Linked DNA regions of Arabidopsis thaliana. The protein of the gene in region 1 interacts with the protein of each later gene in a pairwise test. Each region holds a gene or a part of one and is shown in the gene's direction. Other genes may lie near its edges. The genes, in order: DER1, AT1G01230, AT1G69460 and FOLK.

Region 1 (5,955 bases):
ATACATTAATGTTTTAAGAAGACATTTGCCCAAGTTGCTAATTTTTTCTTTTTTTCCTGATGAATATTCAATGCATCTATGGCTTTGACAAAAAAAGAGATAAAAAATGAAGGAAACAAAATAACCAATGCATGTAAGTAATAATACTCTTCTCGCAAATGAAAACAAAACCTCGAACAATCAATTTACTAGCTATGCGCTAGGGCCAAGCTACTATACTAGGCACTAGGTCCGATTTATTCAGAATCAGTTTTGATATGGATATTGGTCGGATTCGTTCAACCCACTGATTCCAATTTGGTTTTGAAAAACAATGTTCGGCCATTTGCATCCAGAGTTATTTAAATCACGAAAAATATAGTTTGCTATTTATCATATACATACGGAATTTGCATGTTAACACTATTGATCAACTAGATTTTTCTAATGTTATATTTTTTTTGGTGGGGAAGTATTGAACTTACCTTACCACTCTTTTTCGATTCAAATACTAAGAATCACATTTATCAGTTGTGAGTTTAGCTAAATATGTGGGTGGTTTTAAATTTGTGAGTATTAAATTTGTCATTTCTATCACAAAACAATGGGAGAAAAAAACGAAAAACTAGTTTCCCGACATTAAACATGCGAATTACTGAAACATGGATAGGTCCACCATTTTTGCCATTTGACAAGCTCGGTCTCTTGTTTTCCTTGTTCATAAATGATTTTAGTTTGTTTGCTTTTTTAAACGCATCTTTCTATCACTTTTTTCTTTTGGTTGCAAATATGTCGTTTTCTCTCCTCCCTCCTTTTCCGGGATTTAACTTATCACAATGTAATGAAATTTGCATGTTCCTCTCTCGCCATTGGCAAGTTCCATTGCGATGTCTCTATCGATAGGTCAAACAATCCAAAAGAACCAAAACCTTTTTTCTTTTCTTTTCCACTCACATTTAATCTAGGGACCCTTTAATCTTATTCATTTTCTCAACGATAATGTAAAAAAGTATAGTTAGTAAACTGTTAACTGTGTAGATTATACATGTTTTTTAATCAATCATATAATTAGAAGGGGTATTTAGCCGTCCAAAAGCTGTTTTCGCGTGACTATGCATGAAACCCACTTACGTAGCCTCCAACGTAACGACCAATAAAAAGCTCTAACTTAGGAACATTACAACGAACTAATATTTAATAAGTTATATAAGGTCATGAAATGAAATCTTATAACGTATCTAACAACTCACATGATCTATACCATGTCACATTTTTTATCAAACATATGTTAACCACCTAAGCACTAACACTACTCTTTGATCAAACTTATATTTCGCATATACTCCAAAAGAAACCAAGTGGCATATTGGCATATCTCGTAATGTGGTGCCAAAAATGCTTATCAACTTAATTATAGTTCAGATATTGTCTCCGTATCGTATCTTAATATTTGTATTCAACAATAGGTATTATGTTGTATTAGCTAGGTGTGATTTGTAACGAGAAGAGATATCTCGTTCTATTGTGAGGTAAAAATAAAATAAAGCAGTACAAGAACATAACGGTATAAACGGTTTTTACTGTTAAAAAACTTGTAATTGTTTATGTACCAACCCTATTGATTGTGTTTAAGAAATTATTTTTAAATCTTGAGATTCTTATTCAAATATAAACATTGAAGATCGATATTGCTCAATATCACAATAATCTTTCTAAGTTATGAAAAGAACGTCTACTACTATTTGTTTAAAACTACATAGGACAACATCAAATCAGTTTTGAAATTCATTGTAAAATTCTTTTAATACTAAAATTGTTTACAGTTAATGAGAAATTACAATATTATTTTTAGCAGATTATAATTAGAAAATACATTATTATTATTGATCAATTTACCTTGCAGTTCCACGCAAAACCAACAAAATAACAAATAACAAAGCATTGTGTGGAATGACGTAAGGATGAGTCAGCAGACAAGGAGTGAGATCGAATCGGGTCAAGATTATCTGGTTGGGACCCGTCACATGCACATGGACCCTCTCCCGTACCTAATCCAGGTTAAATAATCTTGATTTTCTGTTTAATTACCTTAAAAACACATTATTATTGAAACTAATAATAAATCTCGGATCTTTGGTTCCGACCATACTTGCGAAAGATCATTGCTTTAATGCTAATGTTTCTCTAATTTTGATATTCCTTGAGATTAGATTCCCTTTGCATTGTCTTTTCTTGTTAATTTGTTAGGGTTCATATTCTTACATTATTTTTTTTGGCAAAGAAAAAAACATTTATAAACATATCTAATTCGAGCCTGATCTATTAATGGGTCAAATAAAAGCCTCTTTGGCCCAATTCAATAAACTGGCCAACTGGGGATCATCATAGAGACAGACTACTAGAGAGTAGAGACGCATCAGAAAGAAGAGAAATTGATCCCACAAGTTTAAACACGATTACAAATTAAAACGTGCCACGTATTCAAGACGGTGAATTAACACGACGTGGCAAGGTATGATTGGATAACTTACGCAGCTGCCTAACAAAAACAAGTGATTTGAGTTTTCAGATGATTAGAAGGAAAAAAAATTCTGGAACTTTCGAGCTTCTGTTTTGCGGTGCTCTCAAAGCTTATATCGGATCTCGAATCTTGAATCGGACTCAGAACCTCGGATCTTCGAAAATCGACGAACATGTCTTCTCCTGGCGAGTGAGTTCCGTTCCCCTCTATTGAAACTTTGCTTCGATTCGATTTTGATCGAGAGATTCTTAGCTTGGTCTTCGTACCCAGGATTTTGAGTCCTTAGGTTAATAATTTTCATGATTCGTTTAGCTTGTATAGGGGTTTTTGAAGCATTCAACTGTTGATTCTTCTCAATTCGAGCGTAATTTTGCAACACCAAGCGAGTTCTGTGAACTTGAGCTAACGCTATTTTTAGTATATAGTTATCAATTTGCATTGTCATCATTTGATATTTTGGTGATTTGAGATGTAAAGAAACATCTTTTATGCCATGGAAGTTAGTACAAGTCAACTGGTAGTTAGTTCTTGAAATATGGAATCTCATAGTGTCTTGAAGCAAAACTGTTCTCGTTTGCTGTATCATAGTTACAAGGCTACTTTGATTCTCCTAGCTACGATAGTCTAAAATATCTCTGCGTAGGCTTGTCTCTTGTGGTAAAGTTTTATGCTTTAGCTGATCTTGATGACATTTCCTGATTAGAAATTTATAGATGGATGGAATATGTATGATTTTGATTGTTTATCTGTCAAATTGTTTCTTAGATCGCTTGTTATTGATTGCAGATTCTATAACTCACTTCCACCTATAACCAAGGCTTATGGTACGTTGTGCTTTTTCACTACAGTAGCCACGCAGCTTGGCTTAGTTGCTCCCGTTCACATTGCTTTAATTCCTGAACTTGTACTTAAGCAGTTCCAGGTATATGATTTATTCTTTTTTATGATTTTCCTTTCTTTCTCACAAATCTCTGTCATCCTAAGTTCCTAATTCATTCTGCAATTTTTGATCTATTTGGTGTTTGTAGATCTGGAGGCTGATAACAAACTTGTTTTTCCTCGGTGGTTTCTCTATCAATTTTGGAATACGTCTTTTGATGATGTGAGCATACTATTTTCACATATATAGATGAACAAAGCTAATTTCGATTTTTATTATCTTAACATACTCTTTTAAATGATTGTGCAGAGCAAGATATGGAGTTCAACTCGAGAAAGGGCCATTTGAAAGGCGGACAGCAGACTTTTTGTGGATGATGATCTTTGGATCCTTCACTCTATTGGTATGTAAAGCCTCCCCTGTATTCTATTCTTACTGATCATTGTTATTGGTTCTTTGAGAACCCCAGTACTAGTATGTGGTATGCCACAAAGTAGATAATCGCTGGTACATAATATCCCAAAGCTGAGAAGATCAGAAGCTCTCAAAGAATTGAATCAGGGTTGCATTTTATTAAAGCGAGACAAAATTTTGGAAGGTATTCATACTAGTAAATCCGTGTGTTAAAACAGTTACCTTGTTCAAATTTCAGGTATTATCAGTCATACCATTTTTCTGGACACCGTTTCTTGGTGTTTCACTTGTGTTCATGCTTCTTTATCTCTGGAGCCGAGAATTTCCAAATGCCAACATCAGCCTATACGGTCTTGTCACTCTTAAGGTATTGAAAGTGTTTCTTTTGTAATCAAATCCACTCCTTGGTATATATAATGTTAATGGTGAAAGTTGGAATTACTCCACAGGCTTTCTACCTCCCATGGGCAATGCTAGCACTTGATGTTATCTTCGGTTCTCCGATCATGCCAGATCTTCTTGGCATCATAGCTGGACATCTATACTACTTCCTAACAGTCCTTCATCCTCTTGCTACCGGAAAAAACTACCTGAAAACCCCAAAATGGGTGTATCCTTTATTCAAATTCTCGATTATTTCCAGATGATTGTTTCTCTCGCTTCTCAGTTTTTGTTTTGCTGTTGTACCTTGACATTCTCAACAGTAATAAAATCGTAGCAAGATGGCGAATTGGAGCTCCAGTTGCAAGTGTTCGACAAGCAGGTGGTGTAGGAGCAGCAGGACCCGGAGCTGGAGGAGGAGTAGGAGGAGGAGGAGCTTATTCAAGCGCTCGTGCCCCACCCGAGAGTTCAAACACAGCATTCAGAGGTCGATCATATCGTCTCACCGACTGAAATAGAAATCTTCTCGAGTTTCTTTGTTTTCATCATATCAAATCTTTTTCAAACAATGCCACTAACTAATCCCAGGTAGCTTTGTGTTTTCGAACAGTACAGTTTTTGAATATATGACTCTGTAGGAAGAATCTTTGAGGTTTTAATACAATGTTCTTTTCAAAATGTGGTTCATGTTTCTATGTTTTTGTTTTTGTCTAGCAATCATCTCCTTACTAAATTGAATTCGATAAACTATAGCCACTATGAATATAATCAAATGAAATTTGTGACATAAGAATTTGGACGTAACGAGTTTGAATATCTATCTAGATAAGTTATTAAATTCGTGACCAAAGAGTTTGGTCGTAACAAGTTTGAATTTTTTAGGACATAATATTATTATTGGCTAACAAGATTACGACTAACGAGTAAATAATCATTCCTTCGGTCCTTCCTCTAAAATGCCGTTGGTGATCGTTTATAAATAGGGGAAATAGGAAAAGGGAAGAAAGTAGACGTGGCAAATAGCGAAACAATGATTGAGCTATAACAAAGGCGAAACTTGAGCGGCACTAATTGAAAATCACTCCTTGTTTTTTTGAAGAAAAAGTAAGATGTAGGGCTGAGAATTCGTCTATGTGATCCAACGGTTTTAAAATGATCCTTGTTCCTTCCTCTCCTATTTATCTGAAGGACGAAGTCCCCACGCTGCACATAACCGGGGCACTTAACGTATAGATCATAAACAAAGAAGAAGAAAAAAAATAAGAAAAGAAGAAGAAGATGTCGTGGCAAACTTACGTTGATGAGCATTTGATGTGTGATGTTGGCGATGGTCAAGGACACCACCTTACTGCTGCCGCTATCGTTGGTCATGACGGTAGCGTTTGGGCTCAGAGCGCCAACTTCCCTCAGGTATTTGATTTCATTGCGTCTGATCTCAATGTGATTTAGATCCTGATAGTGTTGCTATCCGATATGATATGTGTTTTTACAATGTGATTTAGATCATGCATCATGTTTTGATTAGATTCTATCAATGTTTGTCATGGGATATATATATAGTGTATTTTGTGTGTGTGTGTTTCTTTTTATATGTTTTGCATAGATTTGAAAACAAATGATGCATGTTGTCTCATGGTAATCGACTAATCGTGATTTGGTCTTTCATATAGTTCAAGGGACAGGAGTTCAGTGATATTATGAAAGATTTCGACGAACCGGGTCACTTGGCACCCACGGGATTATTCATGGCAGGAGCAAAGTACATGGTGATCCAAGGTGA
Region 2 (5,449 bases), on another chromosome or scaffold:
AAAATTTTGTTGACTCCACAGGGTTAGCAATAAAGACATGGGCCAATGTTCCTCGTGGCAGTGGTCTAGGAACCTCGAGCATTCTAGCTGCAGCTGTTGTGAAAGGACTTCTCCAGATATCTAATGGAGATGAAAGCAATGAAAACATTGCAAGACTTGTCTTGGTTCTGGAGCAACTCATGGGTACAGGAGGTGGCTGGCAAGATCAGATTGGTGGATTATATCCAGGAATCAAATTCACTTCAAGTTTTCCAGGAATCCCTATGCGTCTTCAAGTTGTTCCTTTACTCGCCTCGCCACAGCTAATTTCAGAGTTGGAGCAACGCCTCCTTGTTGTTTTCACGGGTCAAGTAAGTAGCAACCACTGAGAGGAAGAAAAGATTTTTTGTTAGCTACAGAGTCTCATTCATTTTATGCCTTTTTTATATAAACAGGTCAGGCTAGCTCATCAAGTCCTACACAAGGTCGTTACAAGGTATTTGCAAAGAGATAATCTCCTAATTTCAAGCATTAAGCGATTGACGGAGCTGGCGAAATCCGGTAGAGAAGCGTTGATGAACTGTGAAGTTGACGAGGTAGGCGACATAATGTCAGAAGCTTGGAGACTGCATCAAGAGCTGGATCCGTATTGCAGCAATGAGTTTGTGGATAAGCTTTTTGAGTTTTCGCAACCTTATAGCTCAGGATTCAAGCTGGTAGGTGCAGGTGGTGGTGGATTCTCACTTATATTGGCTAAGGACGCAGAGAAAGCCAAGGAGTTAAGACAGAGATTGGAAGAACATGCAGAGTTTGATGTCAAAGTTTACAACTGGAGCATCTGTATTTGAAAGATACATACAGTGTCAGTGTGTCATCATCTTGATTCTTGTAAATTGATATATTTTTTTGGGACCTTTGGAAAAAATAAAAGCAGAAGAATCTTTCAGATTTGCAATTAAAAACGATGTCGTGTGGTAAACAAAATCCTTTGCTTGACCAAGTCGTTCTCTTCTTGCTTCTGGTTGGTTTACTTCATAGTTCAACGACCACCAAGCTGTGAAGTGACCGTATTACCCCTGCCTGGAATCAAGGTCAAAAGGCCCCGGAAAATCAGTACGTTGGTAGCATTTGGATTTGGAGATAACGCCGTTAAAAGACTCTGTAACGGGTTTGCTCAACAGCTCTCTCTAGTTCGTTTATCGAATTAGATAATGCCACTCCAAAAAACGTTACTTTACCTTACCTATCTCGCTGACGTCAGATCCCACCGTTAGAGCTTACACTTGTAACGCCGTTTCCTGCATTTTCCACAAGCAAGGTAAAAAAAAGCTTTGTGCAGAGAGAGAGAGAAGAAGAAAAATGGGTTTGCTTACGAACAAGATTGAGAGAGAAGAGCTAAAGCCAGGAGATCACATCTATACTTACAGAGCAATCTTCGCTTATTCTCACCACGGTAACTTTAGATTCATTCTTCCCAAGTTTGCTCCTTTCTTTCTCGTTCATTCAATCATAACATCAAAAAGTGAAATTATCCTCAATGCAAGTCTTTTCTTTTAGTTTCTACTGGTCGGTTTAATCTTCTTATTGAAACTGTAAATTCACAAAGTTGACGACTTTATCTAGATAGATCTTGAAGACAATGGTCTATATTCCAATCTTTGCATGACCTAATTTCACCCTGGCTCTGTATTTTGATGTTATTCCATCATATCTTCTGATCTCTGATGGACTTTATAGATGATTTTTGTTTATTTGACATATTTTTATCCCAATTTCCTCTGGTGATGAAGAATTGATACTGTTGTAGACATTCCTTCATGGGCTTTGATTTGATTGTGGATTTTTGCAGGAATCTTTGTCGGTGGGTCCAAAGTTGTTCATTTCAGACCTGAACACAACCCCATGGATTCATCAACATCATCAATATCATCATCTTCCTCTGAAGATATCTGTTCCATATTTCCTGATTGCGGTTTCAGACAACCGGACAGTGGAGTAGTCCTTTCTTGCTTAGACTGTTTCCTCAAGAACGGCTCACTCTACTGCTTCGAATATGGAGTCAGTCCATCGGTTTTCCTAACCAAAGTCCGCGGAGGGACTTGCACAACCGCGCAATCTGATACAACTGATTCAGTCATCCACAGGGCAATGTACCTTCTCCAAAACGGATTTGGCAACTACGACATTTTCAAGAACAACTGTGAGGATTTCGCGCTCTATTGCAAGACCGGTTTGCTTATAATGGATAAGCTCGGTGTAGGGAGAAGCGGTCAAGCTTCTTCAATTGTTGGTGCTCCTTTGGCTGCACTCCTCTCTTCTCCTTTCAAATTGCTTATTCCAAGTCCCATTGGTGTGGCAACAGTTACTGCTGGTATGTACTGTATGAGTCGCTATGCTACCGATATTGGTGTTAGAAGCGACGTCATTAAGGTCTCAGTTGAGGATTTGGCTCTCAACCTTGACGTAAAGACCATTGAGCAAGGTGAAGAAGAAGAAGAAGACGAAGAAGAAGATTCTGATACCGACTATGTTAGGTGACAAACAGATACCTATCACCTTTGTTCACGAATTTCGATATACATAAGAAAACATTTCAGTTAGAATCCTCATGTTGGTTTTATGTTCCCTTTATTGCATTTGTTGGCCTATTTTCTGTCTGTACAAAATGAAAACGCAGACGTTTTGGTTTGGGTAATGTCAAAAATATCCCAATAATTAATTAATGCCCAGTGTAGATGCAAAAAAGCAGTCGTCGTCTTTCACGGGCACACAAAATTAAACCAAAGAAACAAACAATCCTTGTTCTCGCCGAAATAGAGAATTTTGTGAATCTGGGTTTTTAGTTCAGGTGTTAATATAAGATTTTGATCAAAAGAAGACGAGATTCGATCCGATCCGATCTGATTGAAGAAGAAATGGCGAATCTGTATGTGAAAGCGGTTCCACCACCGGATATGAATAGGAATACGGAATGGTTCATGTATCCAGGAGTTTGGACGACTTACATGCTTATTCTCTTCTTCGGTTGGCTCGTTGTTCTCTCTGTCTCTGGTTGTTCCCCTGGAATGGCTTGGACTGTTGTTAATCTCGCTCACTTCGTTGTAAGTCTTCGATTGTGTTTATGCTTTAGAGATGATTTTTTCACTTAGGGTTGTGACTTTAAATTAGATGATGGATTGATTCCTTGTTTTTTTTTTATTTCCTGAGATCTGGATGTGAATCTGGCTCTAGTGTTTGAATTGATCTCTTTGGTTATTAGCAATTTTTTAGTTGGTTTAGGGTTCGAATGAAGAGGCAATTACCTTCTGATTGATCAGTTTTAGCTATCGTATATCGTTGAGCTTGGATCAGGCTTCGAATTAGGATACAGTTACCTTCTTATCAATGAATTGATCAGTTTTGGTATCAGCGATTTTGAATTGATCTGTTTGGATACTATCAGCAGTGTTGACTGTTGAGTTGATCAGGCTTTTAAGTAAGATGCAATTCTCTTCTAAGTTTGAATTGATCGGTTTTGGATCAGGCTTCGAATTAAGATGCACCTTCTCGTTAATGAATTATCAGTTTTTGATATCAGAAACTAAAACTACCTATGGCATCAATGCAATTTCTTAAGGTCTAACTGTTTGATATAATGCGGTGACTTGTAAATTGGCATTGCTTGATTGTCAAAACCAAATTTAATCTAATTTCTAATTACTCTTTAGGAAAATGTGATGTCTGAGTAGAAATTTGTGGATATTTGTTGTCAGGTAACGTATCACAGCTTCCACTGGATGAAAGGAACTCCTTTTGCAGATGACCAAGGAATCTACAATGGTTTAACTTGGTGGGAACAAATGGACAATGGTCAACAGCTTACCCGCAACCGCAAATTTCTTACCCTAGTTCCTGTTGTTCTGTAAGTCCCAGCACCTTGTTCCTCAAAATCTCACCACTCTTGTCTATTTCCAATCTATATTTTCTTAGCAAATTATTTTCTTTAGCTGCATATATCCTTGTGTCTCATATGGTTAATAAATATGCTAATTTCTCAATACACATATCTAAATCCGGTGATGTGTAACGGACTAGTTCTAGAGAACTCTGTATACGCGATAATGTGTATAAACAAGAGCTGCATTTATCTGGATGAACTTTTAAGATTGAGCTCTTTAGCTTTTGTACTTGTTTTCTGACTTTATAACGACACATTTAAAACAGGTACTTGATTGCATCGCATACAACAGATTACAGACATCCATGGCTGTTCCTCAACACACTCGCTGTGATGGTTCTCGTTGTTGCCAAGTTCCCCAACATGCACAAGGTACGCATCTTTGGTATCAATGGTGATAAATAAGTTTCCTTTACGGCAAGAGAACACCTGAAAGAAGGAAAAGGGGATATAAGCGAACATATATATGTGTAAATGTTCATATGAGTTGGTTTAATTCTCGAGTCATGTTTTTTGTTGGATATTTGTAAGTAAACTCTCTAATTTTGAAGCTTTCATCTTTTACCTTTTATAATAGACACGAAAAAGCTTTCCCTTCATCTCCCCACTTCACTTCAGATAATGGGCCTAATAGCAATATGGGCTTGAACAATAATTGAATTTAACAATGGCCCAAAGATTCCTGTCGTGGTGACTCATGAGTTATCATAACACCAGAATGTTTTCGATTGAGCGTAATGATTCAGTGGGATCTAAAGAACACGTGGCTGCCTACAAGATCTCTAACAGCTGGTTAATGACACGTGTCATAGTTAAAGTCCACCTGGATGGATATTATATCATGGTGTACGTATACAAAATAGTTAATCCCTCTTCAAAATTGAATAAAGCTAACAAAAGTAATCAATTAACGTGATTAAAAAAAAAAAGAGAATGCTAATTGGACCCCGAAAACATGATATATCCTGCAAAATTAAAGCCGACAAAACGAAAGAATGACTAATTAAAGTTGGAATAAGACTAATGATTTTTTTTTTTTTTTTTCTTATTGTGGTCCAATGTAAGAAAATAAATAAAAACATCTTATCCATTAAATCGAAAGTAGGGTCCATATCGTAATAGCCGTCGATTCTCTCTTTAGCCAACACGTGTTGTCAATCCAGCTGTTTCAGATGCTTACCAAGCCAAACAAGTTATTGAAACTGTGTCGTTTTGTGTCCCTAACTCGGAAGCTTTTACGGAAGAAACTGTAAATTTGGTTCCATGGGGCCAGAGAGTGTGAGAAACGAAAATTAAAAAAAAAGAGAAGAAAAGCCAAAAGCTTCGGTCGCGCAAGATCGCTTCATTTGTTTCTAGAGTGATTCATGGATTCTTTAAACTACTAATAATGGTATCTTTAGTTGTTACTTCGTTTTCTGATCTATTTTACAAATCTTACTCTTTTGCTCTGTTTTCGTGGTTTTGTTTAGATAAAAGTCTCTGTTCTTCTAGTTTCTTCCATCAGACTGTTTTCTCATGGATCAGTGATGATTT
Region 3 (4,742 bases), on another chromosome or scaffold:
TTCCTGGTAAGCACCGGTCTTGCGGTGCTTGCTTTTGTCTGTTTCCTGCTAAATTTGCAGCTTGATATGGACTGGAGGATGAAACATCATAAGACACTCCCTGAAGTTATTCCTTTGTGTTTGGCCACTGTAAGATATTCTTTTGGTGTTTACATTTTGTGCAATCGTTATCAGATGGAATCCGTCAGGCTTAAACATCTCTTTTTTTTTTGCAGATTGTTCTTTTCATACTTTTTTGTCCTTTCAACATCATATACCGCTCAAGTCGGTTTTTCTTTATACGATCACTGTTTCACTGTATATGTGCCCCCCTCTACGAGGTAATCGTATTAAATTGACTCCTGGATGTTATTCAATATTCATCTTCATGATTTTATCCTTTATCACAGGTCACACTTCCAGATTTTTTCTTGGGAGACCACCTAACCAGTCAGGTTATATATTTGCATTAATGTTTGCTGAAAAATGACAATAAATGATCAGAATAATAGACTGATGTTTTTTGTTTTGATAAGTTCAGATACAAGCCATAAGGAGCTTTGAGCTATTCATTTGCTACTATGGCTTAGGAGAATACTTGCAGAGGCAAAACAAGTGTCATAGTCATGGTGTTTACAATGCCTTCTACTTTGTCGTTGCTGTTATACCCTACTGGCTCCGCTTCCTCCAGGTTTCACACAATTCAATCTCTTCCTTTTTTTATTACTGCCTTCACTGATTCTGTCACATCCGAATCTATAACTTACATGTATTCACTTTTTTGCAGTGCATACGCAGATTATGCGAAGAAAAAGAATCCGTACACGGATACAATGCGTTGAAATATATGTTGACAATCATTGCAGTCATCGTAAGAACAGCGTATGAACTGAAAAAGGGACGCACTTGGATGATTTTGGCTCTTGTAAGCTCAGGTGTAGCGACAGGGATGAACACATTCTGGGACATTGTTATAGACTGGGGACTCCTCCGTAAGCACTCCAAGAACCCATACTTAAGGGACAAATTACTGGTCCCTCACAAAAGCGTCTATTTTGCAGCCATGGTAAGTAGTAACATTTTAACATCAGAATATGTCATGTTCTAAAGATTCTGGTTGAATCATATTTGATTTTGACAGGTAGTGAATGTGATTCTAAGAGTGGCATGGATGCAGCTAGTGCTAGAGTTCAACTTGAAGTCGCTTCACAAAATCGCAGTAACAAGCATTATTTCATGTTTAGAGATTATTCGTCGGGGAATATGGAGCTTCTTCAGGTTGGAGAATGAGCACTTGAACAATGTAGGCAAATACAGAGCCTTCAAGTCAGTTCCACATCCTTTCCATTACTACGATGACGACGATGTTGACAAAGATGACTGAGCCATCCTTATAAGTTAATAACACACTCTCTGATTATGTTTGATGATGATTCACTAAAACTACAGATATATATTAGCCTTAATAGGAAAAGTTCAACATGGAAAGACATATACATACATGAATCCATAGGAAAACATAGAGAGATTACAAACTTTGCTTGAAAAATTAAAACTTCAAAAAGTTTTAGATTCAGTTGATAATAGAAAATCCAGAACGGAGATCATACGCTCTTCTCCTATCTTCGTCCATCAACTCCGATACGCCAAGTCTGACCAGATCATAAACCCTCGAAACAGCTTTGGAGACCCCAGTTTCGCCATCCAACACCTCTATGATCTCCTCGCACCGCCTATCAATAGCGTTCACCACAGACTTTGAGGATCCGCGTTTGTTGATTCCCAACACAGCGTACCAGTCAGGCTCTCCTGTGACCGTACGATAATTGGCTGCCGTCAAAAGGATTCTGTAAGCGGCGACGTGTGCATAAGCTTGAGGAGCGTCAGGATTCGCTTTGCAGATTGAAACAGCACATCGTAATGCAAGTTCGAGACTTCCTCTCTCAATATAGTTCTCTTCACAGTAACGAAGAAGCTCGTTAATCTTTTTTGACATTCTCTCAAGCATGAATGATCTCTTACGGTTACGGCTCAAGTAACTCAGTATTAGAAACTCACTCCAAAGTTAAGTAATGGTGTTCGTTGTTTACTTTCCTTTTTTTTTTAACCGAGAAAAGGAAAGTTCTGCATTTTTTTGTACCCTAAAAAAAGGAAATTTACACAAAGGTAAACCATACCGGTTCCTTAAGACGCAAGGATCACATAATGCTAAACCAAACCGGTTTATTAAGCAGAACCAAATAATTCAGGATCGGTTTGTAATCTGAAGCTGTTCACACTTATGTGTTTTAACCAATAAAACATATACACGTGTCAAAACACTTGCATCGTCATCGAGCTTCGTCTACACAATCGAGGAAGAAGCAAAAGGAAGACGAAGAGAGATTCGATTTCTCTGGATTTTTCAAAAATGTTTCTCCAATCGCAAAAACTATGGACGATGCTTCTAATTCTAGCGATTTGGTCACCAATTTCACACTCGCTTCACTTCGATCTACACTCAGGTCGCACAAAGTGTATCGCCGAAGACATCAAAAGCAATTCAATGACTGTTGGTAAATACAACATCGATAATCCTCACGAAGGTCAAGCTTTACCACAAACTCACAAAATTTCCGTCAAGGTAAACACAGATCTTTCTAATTTTGACCTAATTTGTTAAAATTTTGTCCATAGATCTGAGTTTTGGTTATGTGTGAAGGTGACGTCTAATTCCGGTAACAATTACCATCACGCGGAACAAGTAGATTCAGGACAATTCGCATTCTCGGCTGTTGAAGCAGGTGATTACATGGCTTGTTTCACTGCTGTTGATCATAAGCCTGAGGTTTCGTTGAGTATTGACTTTGAGTGGAAGACTGGTGTTCAATCTAAAAGCTGGGCTAATGTTGCTAAGAAGAGTCAAGTCGAAGTAAGTTCTCTGTGTGTAGATTATGAGAAGCTGATTCTGATTATATACATAGATATAACGAAATTGTTGAAGTTAGTGTTAGGCTTGTTACTATGTTGATGATACTCCATTGTGTGTTCTTATGATCAGTTTGAACTGAAGTGAGTTCAATTTCTCTTCTCTTTGTGTGGATTATGAGAAGCTGGTCTGATTATAAGAATAGATAACGAAAGTTTCACAGCTTCAGAATTGTAGTAGCGGAATTGTTGAAGCTAGTGGCTGGTTACTATGTTGATCCTCCATGTGTGTTGTTGTTATGCATTTTTGTGGCAGGTTATGGAATTTGAAGTAAAGAGTCTTCTTGATACTGTTAACTCGATTCATGAAGAGATGTATTATCTTAGAGATAGGTACTTTTCTTTCTCTATTGTTTGGTATTATGAAGATATTGTTTATATGACTTGATTGTGGTGTGGTCTCAGGGAAGAAGAGATGCAAGACTTGAACCGGTCCACTAACACAAAAATGGCGTGGTTGAGTGTTCTCTCGTTTTTCGTCTGCATAGGAGTTGCAGGGATGCAGTTTTTGCACTTGAAGACGTTTTTCGAGAAGAAGAAGGTTATCTGAAACTCTCTACTACGGGGTTGGTTACGCTCTTTCTGTTTTCTTAGCCCAAACAATCAATCTTCTCTTCTTTTGGGTGTTGTACATTAGATCAATGGCTATGACTCTGTTCTCTGAGACTTGGGAATTTTATTTGTGTGGCTTTATTTGCTTTTTTCCAAGATAAGTTTAGTTTTTGTTTAGATTTGTTGGTCCTTTAGGATACTTTGATGGTTTAAAGTCAAATAAATTGTGTTTGTCTGAGGTTTTAGATTATACAGCTTATCTCAATCAGAACCAATTATTGGACTCACTCTGATATTTATAATTTATATGTAAACATGTTATTTCATATTTTGGAATAGAAGTGGAACCTTGGGTACTTCGTCGTGTTACATATTATTATTGTTCTTTTAAAAACAAAAAAATCTTATTCAAATTCAATAGAACAAAAAAATAATACAGACGTGTTACAAAAGAAATAAAGTAGAAAAAAACAGAGATCCATTAAGGTTTTGGATTTGGATGAAACTAGAAAAAAATTCCTAGTTTGAATGTCGGTAGGAGAAACCATTATACAATATCTTTAAATTGGAGGCAGTGATCATGAGAATAAAATTGAAGATACTAAGGCCATCTCCAATGGGAGTCTCTCTTAAGAAATTTCAGAGTTCTCTAAATTAACTTAGAAAAAAATAATTCAAAAATACGTAAAATTAAGAGAGCTAGAAGAGAGATTTGTGAGGGTCGACGACATGTCCTAACGTGATTGAATAGTCATATTTAACAAAACAAAAAAGAAACCATTTCTTTTTTTCCCATTTTTTTTCTCGGTCTCTTTTTTATTCCCGACCACTCTCTTTTCTTTCTCTGTTTCTCGCGACAAAATCAAAAATCATTAATCTATGATTTTCGATGAATCAAGCCGTTTATATGTTTAATCGAAGAATCTGAGACGCCAGAATCTTTAAGTCGACAGAAGTTGTTGTCCATCGGTGGAGGAAGACCAAACCCAATCGGAACTGAAAGTGATTCAGAGAAAAATCTGTGATGAAAGCTCCAATTTAGCTTCTTCCAATAGGATATATCAAAATGTTTAAAAATACGCTACGCAAAAAACCGATGTATTTTTTTATATAGTAAGTAAAATCACAAGTCATACTACTATTGTAAAAAAGATTATCAATATTCAACAATTAAATCATAAGAAGGAAAATAAAATTATGATTTAGCCAATTCACTAGTGGCCTAAATTCCTTGTCGAAAATGC
Region 4 (6,152 bases), on another chromosome or scaffold:
AACTCCCACAAGTTCATGTTCTCTCCTAAAAAATCTCAACCAAGCAGAGAAAACAACCTTACAAGGGACATCAATGGCGTGCCTCCTAGCGTTGAGAAGGCACCTACGCAAGAGCTTGGCATCACCGAGACTGCGGAGAACAGCGTACTGCTCAAGGTAGAGCATCGATGCCTCGGATTCCGAACTGGACTCGATTCTCCGATATAGATTTGATAATGACTCCACCAAATCGATAGGTTTGAGGTAAGAGTCCAAGGGAGGCTCGAGGAGGTCTGTGGTGGGAAAGCCATGAGGGAGAAGTGAACGAGATTTGGATTTGGGATGCCCAAGGAACTTCATCATTCGAGGGCTACCATTGCTGCTTGTAGAGGGAGAGTCTTGTGTAGTAAAGGCGTGGACTTGAGTGCTTTTAAATCTCTCAAAGAGTTTGAGATTGCGCATTTTGCTATATCACAGAAATCTGAGAAAAGGGTTTGATTTTGAAGTAAAGAGAGAGTGAGGGAGACGGAGAGAGCAAGAGAGAGAGAGAGAGAGAGAGAGAGAGAGAGAGAGAGAGAGAGAGAGAGTTGAAAACACAAGCTCTGTCTCCGGTGACAACACACAGTGCAGAGACAAAAAGGAGAGAGAGAGAGAGAGGAAGAAGAAGACGATGAAGTGTGATTGAGAATATAAATTATTTTTATAAAAAGGTCAATAATTTGGGGAGAAAAAAGAGTAATGGCGTCGATTTTTGCAAACCCAAAAAACATTTATATGGAAAAAAAATGGTCGAATCTCATATCTGTTTTTCTTTCTTTTATGCATTTTTTTGTGGAACAGTTTACGAACTTCAACAGTTGGTGGTTCTTATTGGGTGCGATACGAACCAGACCACTTTCCTTTCTCTTTCCTTTTTGTGTAAAGACCACTTTCCTTTTTTAAAACAATATTTTGTTTCTGTTTTTTTGGTGAGGAAATATTTTGTTTCTTTGTTAAATTGTTATTTTTTTCCATATTTGAAGATATTGGTATGGCTTTTAATTTGTGAAAATTTGGGTTTATTACAGAGTTATATGATGATTAAATATAGTTTAGAGAATTATAGATGGTTGGTTCGTTTCGGGTATAATTAAAATAAGCCTCTCTGACTATCCAACGTCATTGATTCATGTGATGCCAAGATAGGTAGGTTAACTAGTTATGTGGTTTCTTATCGGTTATCTCCTATCTAAACAATTGAGCTTAACATTAAACTTTGAAGATATTAACTTATCTCTCTAATGAACGAAAAAAATTCAGTTTTATTGGTTGATTGGTTATGATTTCAATGACTAACAAAGAAATGGTCTTTAATTTATGTACAGCATGAATTTACTCAATTTATTACATACAACATGATTTCAAAAAATTGCTTAAAATTTTGCAAAACATTTCTTTACTGTGATCACACTAATCATTTGTTAATCTGGTGTCTACTTTTTTACTCGCTAACGTGAGCGTGTATATTTATATTTTCTGAGATCTTCATAGTTTTAGGTTTTTAGCTTGTAGTTAGTTTTTTTTGTTCTCGATATTGGACCAACAACTATCAGGAAACGCATAATTTATTATATATATAAAAAACTCTCATAAAACGTACTGTATTAAAACAATAACAAATAAAAAGTGGAGAGAACTATATCCAGAACCAATTCTGATGTTCTTTTGCCCGCACACCTGGAAAACACATGCAAGTGTACTCTTTAAAGATAAACATATATACCATTTGCGAAATAATTGAGGATTTTTTTTCTTTTGCCAACAGATAAATAATATAAGATTGTTTCAGAAAAAAAATAAAGATGGATAATTGAGGATTAGGTTGGCATTATTTGATGCAAAAAATACTAAAGAAAATCTCACATTGAAATCAATTAAAATAATTTTCTTATGGTATATACAAGTTGATGCAAAATTGATAAAAGATTAAACAAGGCAAGAGACGTGTGGTCATGTGTCTCGGCAACCCATGTGAGGGAATCTGAATCACTTTTTTTTTTTTTTTTTTTATGTTTCTCGAATCTGAGTAGCACAATAATTGAATTGTGTTTCGTAACTAAATTAGGGATTTATTAATCATGAAAAATTATTTGATGAAATCAAATTGTGGTCCGTCTAGTTGACTTATACCAGCCCAAATTATTTAGCGAATATAAAGCCCAAACTAGGCCCACAATAACAAATTATGCGTTTCCTCAAACGAACACCACCATGTCATGAACCATTCTAGCCGAATCCAAATAGAACGAAACTAAAATTGCTTTAATCCATATGTGACCAGATAAAGTAAAACACTCCTTTTGGGGAAATAAATATCCACTTTTCACCATCTTTTTGGTAAACAATAAAACAAACCAAATTTTGTGTGCTTGAGCAACAACAACTACCAACCAGTTACTGTCAAAAAAAATAAATGAAAACGTAATCGAAGAAAAGGTCGTGTTTTCTAGTGTTGCAGAAAATGGCAACTACTAGTACTACTACAAAGCTCTCCGTTCTCTGCTGCTCTTTCATTTCATCTCCTCTCGTTGACTCTCCTCCTTCTCTCGCCTTCTTCTCTCCGATTCCACGATTCCTCACTGTCCGAATCGCGACTAGCTTTAGATCGAGCTCTAGGTTTCCGGCCACCAAAATCCGCAAGTCTTCACTCGCCGCCGTGATGTTTCCGGAAAATTCGGTTTTATCAGATGTCTGCGCGTTTGGAGTCACTAGCATCGTTGCGTTCTCGTGCCTCGGTTTCTGGGGAGAGATTGGCAAACGTGGCATCTTCGACCAGGTTTTCGATCATTCAATTCACTTAATTAAATTATACACGCGTCGATTTGTTGAATAACGTTTTTGGAATGTTGCTCGATTCTGCAATTTCTGGTTAAAGCAACTTTGGATTCAGAGTAATGGTAGTAGTAAGCTTTATCGAGTAATGGATGGCATTAATGGCGAGGATAATAAATCTTATTAGTTCAAGAAATTATAGAATGTGAATGGATACCTATTTTGGGGTGGAAGAACACTGCGATAAACAATGGGAAAGTAACCCCATATCTGGTAAATTAGTGGGAAAATTGCTCAGAACCCAATTTGGGGATGAAATTTTTTTGAAATTCGTGCGGTATAATCACAATCTCATCGTAACTTGAAGATTCAACCATATTTATGATATATATGAATTTTGTAGGTTTAAATGTTGCACAATTTCTTTGCTATACTTTGAAGGATTATTTCTTCGTATGAGTCAGTCTATACACATATTGGACATGGCTTGTTTTTTTTTCCTTTCTCTTATGTGTTTCTCCGCAGTGACTTGTTTTTCTTCAAGTAATTTGGTTAGGAGTAGAGGAATTATCTATGATTAGCAAAAATTCTATTAAACATTTTTGGTTTGGGAATACCTGTATGGCTTCAGCTACTTGATTTTGTTTCTCTGACCTTATCGTGATTAAGATATCATCTCAGAACCCATTGAATTTATAAGATCCACAGGCTGTCTGATGTAGGACTGACTCCACTTTCATGGTTTTATTGAATGAGGCATTGGTTTAACATCTGTGGTTGACATTGGTGTTATTTCTTATTTTTCAGAAACTCATCCGGAAGCTTGTGCATATAAATATTGGGCTAGTTTTTATGCTTTGCTGGCCGCTGTTCAGGTAATAATACGGAGTGAAAGGATCGATTTTGATGTACCAGCTTGCTTTTCTGCTTCACCAGTTTATTTCGATATCAATTGTTTCAGTTCTGGAATCCAAGGAGCACTTTTCGCATCTCTTGTACCTGGACTCAATATAGTAAGGATGCTATTGCTGGGGCTTGGAGTGTACCACGACGAAGGAACAATCAAGTCAATGAGCAGACATGGAGATCGCAGGTAGCTGAATCGAACAAGTGTCTGTCACAATATCCAACAATCTCTTAGCATTCTTGGTATCTATGATCAAAATTCGGTTTGTCTGTTTATTATTGCTTTTGTCACTTCACAAAGTGTCTGTAGTCGCTCTCTGCATCAGGGAACTACTTAAGGGGCCGCTTTACTATGTACTGTCAATCACATCAGCCTGCATCTACTATTGGAAATCATCCCCAATCGCGATTGCGGTGATATGCAACCTTTGCGCAGGAGATGGTAAGTACAGTTAGCTCTGGTTTGATCCAATAACATTAGCAACTTTTGTCTTAGGAATTTGAATCCATTGAATGATGATTCTAATACACACACTTGCTGTTAAAAGGTATGGCTGACATTGTGGGTCGGCGGTTTGGAACAGAGAAGCTTCCTTACAACAAAAACAAATCATTTGCTGGTAGCATTGGAATGGCCACCGCCGGGTTTCTAGCATCTGTTGCGTATATGTACTACTTTGCTTCATTTGGTTACATCGAGGATAGCGGGGGAATGATTCTTCGTTTCCTCGTCATCTCTATAGCATCAGCTCTTGTGGAATCACTCCCAATAAGCACCGACATTGACGACAATCTCACCATTTCCTTAACCTCTGCCTTGGCCGGATTCTTACTCTTCTAATAATACCCTCTCGTTGTTATGTATCATCAAATAAAGGGTCGAGCTTGATTGCTGATATGGAGGTAAAACTGCATTCATTGTTCCCATCTTCTTCTGTATGTACGTATTAGTGAAACATCTCATATTGTTGTTGTCCACAAATCTTATTTTTCAGCTGCAATTGCAGTTGGGTACAATGTTGTAATGTTCTATCCATTAGTGAGACATATGATGACGAACAGTGACGCTTCTACAATTTGTAACAGATACTCTTTTGTAACAGATATTCAATACATGTTTGTTTGTTATTTGGCCTATGGCTATGTGGAAATGGATTGTTTGCTTACAACAGGTGAGGGCTTGAGTGTCCCGCTCCAGGAAGCCTCTTCTGACAGGTCGGACTGGTGACTGTAACGGCGTTTCAGACAAGGAAGCAACACGAGGAACAAGAGGAAGACGGCGAAGCTGATGACAAGAACTACCGTCAAGATCTCACCATGCATGGCGTAGTGTCTGTCTCTAGTGAAAGTAAGTCGTTCGCCATCTTCAGGACTCGAGGCCTCCACCGTAGAAGTTACCATTAGAGAGGTAATCTCAAATATTCTCAAATCTCAACTCCTTTGCTCATACCTACTTCATACTGTCATGCATCATCTTGGAGGGATTTGTGTCTGTTTCTTTTTCCTCTCTGAAATATAAATTTGACTTGGGAGAATATGTATCAAATGAAAACAATATGTCACCACAGAAGAAAAGAAGAGTTTAAATATATTTCTTTGGGATAATTTAGTAGATGGATTTTTGTATAAAGGTTGGTGTAGAAAGTGAGACTGGGACGTTCGTTAGTGATTGCTCTCTACATATGGGGCGTTGGATTGGGTCTTTTTGGATCTTACGTGCGACGTCGTTTTCGTAATTTGAAGAAAATCCTTTTCGTGTGGCTCCCATAACCGACTCCGTGACTTTCCCGGAAATTTCCTCAAGAGAGAAGCGACCTTGTGTCTCATGTTAGTTGCTTCTTCTTCTGCCCTTATTTATATGAATACAAAAATTAATTACTCTTTGATTTGGCCCATTTAAAATTGCTAACTTCTTCACGCATTCTCGAAATAGAAGAAAACGTGGTATGCTTGTATTAATTGAATGGTTCTGAAAGAGACATTTTCAGAAGAAACAAAAAAGCAATTGTGCCAAACTAGAAGAAGAAGCTATAATCGAGGTGTGCTCTACTGAGATTTTGCATGGGTGCTGCAAAAAAAAAAAAGAGATTTGAATGGGCCATGAGATGGGCTTTTAATAAAAAAATCATAACAGAAATTAGATGACGTGGAGTGTCGTTTTCTTTCTATTCGAGGTGACGGTGAGAAGGAAAACCGTGTCGTTTATATGATTAAGTAAAGAAACGCTTGCCGTTTAATATTTTAGCTTGGCCTGGGTGCCGTGGCAAGTCATGATTGGTGGTTTCTTCGCCGATGTAAAATTCAACAGATCGAGAGAGAAAAAACTCTCTCTCCCTCCTCCGTTCACCGTCGCGACTCGGCTCTACAGTGTAAGCTTTCTGATTCTACGGCGATTTCGTTTCTGTATCTATGCTTGTAGACTGGGTTTGTTTTATTGGATGATTTGATTTGGAACC

The links.
Region 2: the proteins of DER1 (region 1) and AT1G01230 interact in a protein complementation assay, tested with the Arabidopsis thaliana proteins (one large-scale study listed by BioGRID).
Region 3: the proteins of DER1 (region 1) and AT1G69460 interact in a protein complementation assay, tested with the Arabidopsis thaliana proteins (one large-scale study listed by BioGRID).
Region 4: the proteins of DER1 (region 1) and FOLK interact in a protein complementation assay, tested with the Arabidopsis thaliana proteins (one large-scale study listed by BioGRID).

Annotation. Positions count from the first base shown.
Region 1 is NC_003075.7:14,442,265-14,448,219, forward strand, and holds DER1 (DERLIN-1), read left to right. Parts: upstream 1-2,288; 5' UTR 2,289-2,672; coding exon 2,673-2,689; intron 2,690-3,286; coding exon 3,287-3,422; intron 3,423-3,528; coding exon 3,529-3,602; intron 3,603-3,689; coding exon 3,690-3,783; intron 3,784-4,032; coding exon 4,033-4,161; intron 4,162-4,243; coding exon 4,244-4,404; coding exon of another isoform or gene 4,405-4,441; exon of another isoform or gene 4,442-4,498; coding exon 4,499-4,688; 3' UTR 4,689-4,973; downstream 4,974-5,955. Other genes in the region: PRF4 (profilin 4), read left to right, coding at 5,454-5,585, 5,846-5,955. UniProt on the Arabidopsis thaliana protein: May be involved in the degradation process of specific misfolded endoplasmic reticulum (ER) luminal proteins.
Region 2 is NC_003070.9:94,726-100,174, forward strand, and holds AT1G01230 (ORMDL family protein), read left to right. Parts: upstream 1-2,686; 5' UTR 2,687-2,894; coding exon 2,895-3,080; intron 3,081-3,731; coding exon 3,732-3,880; intron 3,881-4,182; coding exon 4,183-4,321; 3' UTR 4,322-4,515; downstream 4,516-5,449. Other genes in the region: FKGP (L-fucokinase/GDP-L-fucose pyrophosphorylase), read left to right, coding at 1-350, 435-827; AT1G01225 (NC domain-containing protein-like protein), read left to right, coding at 1,339-1,432, 1,829-2,517.
Region 3 is NC_003070.9:26,110,808-26,115,549, reverse strand, and holds AT1G69460 (emp24/gp25L/p24 family/GOLD family protein), read left to right. Parts: upstream 1-2,293; 5' UTR 2,294-2,389; coding exon 2,390-2,602; intron 2,603-2,680; coding exon 2,681-2,890; intron 2,891-3,202; coding exon 3,203-3,279; intron 3,280-3,351; coding exon 3,352-3,496; 3' UTR 3,497-3,862; downstream 3,863-4,742. Other genes in the region: AT1G69480 (EXS (ERD1/XPR1/SYG1) family protein), read left to right, coding at 1-129, 216-320, 390-434, 521-670, 767-1,045, 1,121-1,363; AT1G69470 (heat shock protein-binding protein), read right to left, coding at 1,553-1,975. UniProt on the Arabidopsis thaliana protein: Involved in vesicular protein trafficking. Mainly functions in the early secretory pathway.
Region 4 is NC_003076.8:23,668,034-23,674,185, forward strand, and holds FOLK (Phosphatidate cytidylyltransferase family protein), read left to right. Parts: upstream 1-2,233; 5' UTR 2,234-2,479; coding exon 2,480-2,794; intron 2,795-3,597; coding exon 3,598-3,665; intron 3,666-3,751; coding exon 3,752-3,883; intron 3,884-4,022; coding exon 4,023-4,138; intron 4,139-4,244; coding exon 4,245-4,537; 3' UTR 4,538-4,836; downstream 4,837-6,152. Other genes in the region: EOL2 (ETO1-like 2), read right to left, coding at 1-441; AT5G58570 (uncharacterized protein), read right to left, coding at 4,837-5,097. UniProt on the Arabidopsis thaliana protein: Kinase involved in negative regulation of abscisic acid (ABA) signaling. Substrate preference is farnesol > geraniol > geranylgeraniol, but has no activity with farnesyl phosphate. Can use CTP > ATP > GTP = UTP as phosphoryl donor.